Drosophila melanogaster: one gene and its partner. The protein of the gene in region 1 interacts with the protein of each later gene in a pairwise test. Each region holds a gene or a part of one and is shown on either strand. Other genes may lie near its edges.

Region 1 (3,137 bases):
ACGCATACATTCAGAACAGTGTAACTGCAGTCCCACGTAGTCAGTAATCGAACGTAATTATTAAGAACACGAGATTGGCGGAAACACAAGAACATCAGCAAAAATACATTAAAGATAAAAATTAATCTGTTTTCGTTTTGGGCCTGGGTGTTTTTTGTATTTTAGCATTTTAAAATTTAATACTAAAGTACTTAAATTAAACTTTATTCTTTGTAAATATAGATACTCCTGAACTTAATTTTATTTTCATTTGTTGCTAAAACTCCATGACACTTTCCAGATGGCGTTGCTTAAAGAAGCGGCACTCCTCGCGAATTATTTCGCCGGATTTTGTTGTGCCCTTAAAGAACTTTGTGAGCTTGGTGCCGGCGTACTTGGGCTTCTCGGAATCCGGCTCGTCGAACTCCATGTCATAGGCCTTGTCCGCCAGTGCGTTTTCCGCGGTGGACCAACTGAAGCGCACAAGTCGTGGAAATCCAAACACTAGATCGATGTACTCGGTCAGAAATCTTCTTGTGACCGGATCTCCCGGATATCCACTGCCGAACTCGTTGTCCTTAATGACCAAGCCCTCGGGGAAGCTCCACACCTTGAGGGCATGATCACGGGTAACTTTGGCGCATATACTAGCAGCAGAGACTATTGGATAGGTGGAGTCAGCTTTTTTCGCCACGGTGATTTTAAAGCTGGGGAAACGTTTGAGCAACTTCTCCTGGTACTTCTCCGGCGGACCCACCGTATCCACATAAACCTCGGCTATATTGACGCCCGCATCGATCGCCTGTTGGATAAGGCCCATGGCCGAGTCCATGGAAACTTCGTTCAGGGAGCACTTCGACCGCCGGTACATGCTGGTGCTGATCGTGTTCGGCGATATGATCTCCACGGCCCAGCCAACGCAACTGGTCGCATATTCCTTGGTGTTGATATCGTTAAATATGATATCACGTTTCCCCTCGGTTAGTTGTTTGGAATCGGCGCATCCCAGGTCCTCTAAAGCCTTGTTACTTTCCAGTGGACAGTAGGAGATCCCATATACCATAGGTCCCAGGACGGGACCACGCCCTGCTTCGTCCACGCCCAGCATGCACGGCTTATCCTTGCAAATATCCGGAACATCGCTGAGGTAAACCGTGTTGCGGCTATTCTCCTTGCCGGCTATAAATGGACCCAGGGCCTTCAAGGAGCTTATTTTTCCGCTGTCCTTAAAATCTACATCATCGGGCTCTTCGTCGTTCTCATCAATATTTTCTATACATTTTTTTTCTTTTTTTACAACTACGTCTTCTTGGTCCGACATTTTCGCGCGCTTTTTTTTTGTTTACGTTTAAACGACGCTATGGGCACACTAATTGTATACATAAAGTTGCAGTGTGACTCATTCGTCATTATACCAAAATATCTTTTTTTTAATATTCTCAATAACCGTACGGAAAGGTCTTTTATTAAAATAGAGAGATAAACATATAACCAGAGAATTATGCTAAGGCTTCTGTCCAAGATGCTTAAAAATAAACTAGTTTAAATAAGAGATAATCTCGGCAGTTTGAACGAGTTTTCCTCTACCTAGTATTTCCTGACAATAATATGCAAATTTTCATAGACGGTTGGTATTTTTCTTCGTCATCGGCGCGGTCACACTGCATATCAACTGCTCTTTCCGGTTTAGGATTTTGACCAGCGTGCTTGTTCTCGTCCCGAGCTAAGGCCATTTGTTATAAACAATTAATTTTTGGCAACTTGCACAATCAGTGATTAGCCACAGCACTTCGACATGTCCACCAAAGCCGAGCTCGCCTGCGTCTACGCCTCCCTCATCCTCGTCGATGACGATGTCGCCGTCACCGTAAGTTTTTCGATATTGCAATCGGGGACGAAGCAAATCCTCCAAAGCCGCGGCCATCGGCCGGAAGTATTGGACAATTTGCGGGTCCTATGGTTTCTTTCGCACTGCTGCAACTTGTGCTGATCTTATTTTTTGGATTCACCAGGGTGAGAAGATCAACACCATCCTGAAGGCCGCCAACGTCGAGGTGGAGCCCTACTGGCCCGGTCTCTTCGCCAAGGCCCTGGAGGGCATCAACGTCAAGGACCTGATCACCAACATCGGATCCGGAGTTGGTGCCGCTCCCGCCGGTGGTGCTGCCCCTGCTGCCGCCGCCGCTGCTCCAGCCGCCGAGTCCAAGAAGGAGGAGAAGAAGAAGGAGGAGGAGTCCGACCAGTCTGACGACGACATGGGCTTCGGTCTGTTCGACTAAATCCTCTAGAGAACTTCTCGACAACCGGACATCCGTTGTGTTTGTGCTGTAATCCTCGAGAGGTGGACGTGTACCCGTTTCCCGACCTGCGTACACGTTTTTAATGTACAAATGTGAGGAAATATAGAAGACGTTTGCTAAAAAATTATCGAGACTCATTCCTTTCACAACGGTGCAGAATTATTATGGTTTACTATGTTATTGGTCATTCCACTGCCTTTTTGTGAGTAGATTCTATTTTGGGTTTTTAAGCACATGAAAGAGGTTGCAGTAGAATGGCCAATAATTTGGTCAGCCGGGTTGAAGGCTACGATTAAAATGTTCAAGGTTTTTTTTACAAAAACTGTCACAGCTAATATTTATTGGATATAACGAACGCAGACTAGAATAACGTCTCCTCGAGGACCTTAGCTAGGGCACGAAGATTGGGTCCGTCGATTTTCTTGAGACCCAAGCCCACCACGAACTCCGTCGGGCACTTGTGGAGTCCGGTTCTGTTGACCAGAAACTGTATGGCGCTGCGAGTCTCGTCGGTGTCCAAGCCCAAGCAGCAGTTCATCGTGATTGGCACCGATACGTGGAACTCCGGATTGTCCACGGGTCCGTGCAAATAGGGAACCACTCTTTCGTCCTTTTTGACATCGAAGTGCACGTTGTAGATGCCGGGAATCTTGCCGAGCTGCGTTATGACTAAGAACCACTTCTTGGCAAAGCAGTGGAACACTATCTCCGTGGGAACGCCGTTCACGTCCGCTGAGAACTGCCTGTCGAATCCGATTTGTCGAGGTTTGTTTGCTGTGTGGTTCATTTTTTGAGAGAATTTAAAAGCGTTTAACAATGTTGATATTGTTTACGATGAGACAGCATGAAAAAACGATG
Region 2 (3,866 bases), on another chromosome or scaffold:
CTCATTTTGGCCAATTGGTCTATTTGATGGGAGAATAATTAGATGATTTTATCGATAGTAGCACGATGGTCAGTGGTTTTTGGTGCAGAAGTCGGTATTTATTGATGTTTATGTTGCGGGATGTAAGGCACTGGGAAAACCTGAGAAAACACTAAAGCTGATTCTTTCATTACAAATAGAGATGCACATCTGAAATGTGTGTTATCTTTGTATGGAAACAACATCGATAAATACATCGTGTCATTTGTCGTGTCATCGTGTCAGCGAAATAATATTCGCGACAAGAACATATTGTTTAAGGAAAATAAATGCGTCTTTCGTTTCTTCATTTGCCATCATATTTTATTGAGAATACGAGTCATTAGGTGGCCAACAGAAACAAAATCTAGAAAAATATGTCTTTTTTTTCAGAACAAACCATTATATTTCCGTCTTATCTGGTACATACCAAAGACACTAGAATATTCTAGTGTTATTCTATTCTATTCTATTATTATTATTCTAGTGTCTTTGTACATACTATATGTAGTAGCAGACTGGCTCTGCTTAGCAACAATTTGTAATAAGCAAGTGCATTTAATTTTCTCTACTATGGCATTGTTATATTTTTTACTATTTGTATCGCATAAACGTTTTTTAAATTAAAAAAAAACAAAACTATTAGTTCGTCTTACAGTATTTATCCGTTTTATCATTCGATTTGGCTAAAGGTATTAGCTATTTTCGAGCAACAGTCGGACGAATTCCATAATTTTTATTTATCTTACTAAATAAATAAATAAATTAATCAATAAGTAACGCAGGATTCATTAGATAAACAGTCAATAATTAAGTTCCTATAAATTAATCTTAAAGACTATTCAGCGAAGAACGCTAGGTACCCGAGATTGCTTCATCAAGCCCTTGGATCCTTAGCTCAGTCCGAGGAGGATCCATCGCCGTGGGTAGCCTCTTTTTTCCGGTTGAAGAACTGGAATGTCTTGTAGGCGGCGAACGCAAAGAGCACGGTTCCTCCGACGGCGCACATGAAGGGGAGCATGTCTGGCGTGGGCTGGGCGAAGGTCGCAGCAGGCTCGTCATCACATTTGAGACCCTCCTCGCCGTGCTGGTCGTATATCTCGCGCTTTTCCTTATCAAAGAGCACTTCGAAGGCGGCCACCACCTCCCTAAACTGCTCCTCGGCCTGCGGATGGTCGTTCTTGTCCGGATGGTAGCGGAGAGCCATCCGGCGGTATCCCTTCTTGACGTCTTCGCTGGACGCATTCCTCTCGATGCCCAGAATCTTGTAGTAATCCTTACCCATTGTGGTGAAATGGTATTCTCCTTGTTCTGGCTGAGATGGTCGTCTAGCGGTGTTGCGCCGTGTATGGAATGTGAGGCAGCGTCTCGACTTGTTGGTGCTTATGTGGTAATGCGAGTATATATTGCTGATTCGATTCGCTGATTTAAAACATTATTACAAATAAACAGTCAATCGATAAATTATCGGCCGCCAGTGGCCAGAGTGACCCTACCTTACCACCAGAAGCACTGTTAGTTAACAGAAGAGATTCTGACGATCGTAGCAGCTGTATAGGAGCACTATTAGCCTATTAGTAATTAATGATCTGTTAAATCTATCTTTTTTGAGTACTTTAAAAGGAATTACACATTTCGAAAATAGAAAATATTCATATCGCTTACCGGTTTTGGTATTTTTTCAGACCGTGCGGTATCTTATTCGCCATCGAAGCGGTCACACTGGGTGCCGCCGCCAACTTCACTCTTTCCGTTCTGTGAGCGAAAACCGAAAAGTCTGTGCTTTGGTAAGTGTTGCTAAAAGTTCGGAATAATGTTGCATCCCGAGCATTTTCGGGTACATAACTGTTCCACGGCGGTGGTCCAGCAAAGACTAATCGTTATCACGCCTTTCGCAGTTCTTAAATTCACCCGACGAGTCCCTAATACACAATTAAAATGGTTAGGGAGAACAAGGCAGCGTGGAAGGCTCAGTACTTCATCAAGGTTGTGGTAAGTATAGAACCTTATAGAATTCGCTCACTAGCTGGCGCCTGGCTTATGCTGTTAACTGATCCCTCCTCCAGGAACTGTTCGATGAGTTCCCAAAGTGCTTCATCGTGGGCGCCGACAACGTGGGCTCCAAGCAGATGCAGAACATCCGTACCAGCCTGCGTGGACTGGCCGTCGTGCTTATGGGCAAGAACACCATGATGCGCAAGGCCATCCGCGGTCATCTGGAGAACAACCCGCAGCTGGAGAAGCTGCTACCCCACATCAAGGGCAACGTGGGATTCGTGTTCACCAAGGGCGATCTCGCCGAGGTGCGCGACAAGCTGCTGGAGTCCAAGGTGCGCGCCCCCGCCCGTCCCGGCGCTATTGCCCCTCTGCACGTCATCATCCCGGCGCAGAACACCGGCTTGGGACCCGAGAAGACCAGTTTCTTCCAGGCCCTGTCCATCCCGACCAAAATTTCCAAGGGAACAATTGAAATCATCAACGATGTGCCCATCCTGAAGCCTGGCGACAAGGTCGGCGCCTCCGAGGCGACACTGCTCAACATGTTGAACATCTCGCCCTTCTCGTACGGTCTGATTGTCAACCAGGTCTACGACTCCGGCTCGATCTTTTCGCCGGAGATCCTGGACATCAAGCCCGAGGATCTGCGCGCCAAGTTCCAACAGGGAGTGGCCAACTTGGCCGCCGTTTGTTTGTCCGTGGGCTACCCCACCATCGCCTCGGCCCCGCACAGCATTGCCAACGGATTCAAGAATCTGCTGGCCATTGCTGCCACCACCGAGGTGGAGTTCAAGGAGGCGACCACCATCAAGGAGTACATCAAGGACCCCAGCAAGTTCGCCGCAGCTGCTTCGGCTTCGGCTGCCCCCGCGGCCGGCGGAGCTACCGAGAAGAAGGAGGAGGCCAAGAAGCCCGAGTCCGAATCAGAGGAGGAGGACGATGATATGGGTTTCGGTCTGTTCGACTAAGCTGGATCCCGATTGCAGAATGCCCTCTGCGGCGCCCGCGAACCATCGCTTCCGCTTTCGGCGTTTACCCACTAAGACCCTTTGTTATGTTTTCTATGTGCAAATTATTGCCGCGGTTTGACGGACCCAATGGCGAGTTGCATTAAACATGCTGTAAACTGCTCGAAAGCGCACTCAACTGTCTTTTAAACTTGCACTCGAATCGGGATAGGTGGACATGGTGGGATTAGGACTCCAAAATCCAAAGGCTTCCCACTTTTCTTCATTTCCCTTTAAATATCCGAGCGACGGCAGGTACCGCCTGCAGCTGCTCCCGGTCATCCGGATATTTACAAAGTAATTACTTGCGATAAAATGAATTTCACAAGATGAGAAAAGTTTAAAGTTTCTGCTGCCGTTGTCGGCTGCGACTTTTGCGATTTCTTTTGCTTTTCGCAAAGGACATCGTCGACGGAGGAGAGACGCTCATAAAAATTCAATTTGTCTTGACAAAATACGCAAGAAATTAAGAATGTGCCAAGTGGCGGCAAAAGAAACTTTCCTTCCCTTTTTCCCAGTTTCCTGCACATTTCTTGCTCTGCTCGTCTGGCGAGCGAAAATGAGTTACGCGACTGGGGCGTGAAAGTGCCACGCCCTCGCGGCGATGTGTCGCGCCTGGAGTGCTCAAGGGGGGGGGGGTGGCGGAAGGGTGGTCAGGAGATGGGAGCTGGGGAAGCAGTAGCCGCGGGCCAAGTTAAACACTGCATAAATAGCCGGACCGAAATGAAAAGCCCTGACGAAAATAAATCCTCCGCAGGCCTCTTTGGACCTCAGAGATGGGATCGTGAGCCACCTCGGAAGTAGTTGGGTCGTGTCATAGGTTATCCTATAAGATTATACCCT

What was found. Proteins that work in one complex are often made in the same cells at the same time.
Region 2: the proteins of RpLP1 (region 1) and RpLP0 interact in binary tests that used the Drosophila melanogaster proteins (3 or more experiments, as listed by UniProt).

Annotation. Positions count from the first base shown.
Region 1 is NT_033779.5:418,301-421,437, forward strand, and holds RpLP1 (ribosomal protein LP1), read left to right. Parts: upstream 1-1,651; 5' UTR 1,652-1,774; coding exon 1,775-1,846; intron 1,847-1,991; coding exon 1,992-2,258; 3' UTR 2,259-2,564; downstream 2,565-3,137. Other genes in the region: CG13690 (uncharacterized protein), read right to left, coding at 257-1,300; CG11885 (uncharacterized protein), read right to left, coding at 2,641-3,066. UniProt on the Drosophila melanogaster protein: Plays an important role in the elongation step of protein synthesis.
Region 2 is NT_037436.4:22,074,332-22,078,197, forward strand, and holds RpLP0 (ribosomal protein LP0), read left to right. Parts: upstream 1-1,535; 5' UTR 1,536-1,595; intron 1,596-1,703; 5' UTR 1,704-1,805; intron 1,806-1,916; 5' UTR 1,917-1,956; coding exon 1,957-2,010; intron 2,011-2,084; coding exon 2,085-2,984; 3' UTR 2,985-3,156; downstream 3,157-3,866. Other genes in the region: CG7133 (uncharacterized protein), read right to left, coding at 1-5; CG7130 (uncharacterized protein), read right to left, coding at 917-1,303. UniProt on the Drosophila melanogaster protein: Ribosomal protein P0 is the functional equivalent of E.coli protein L10.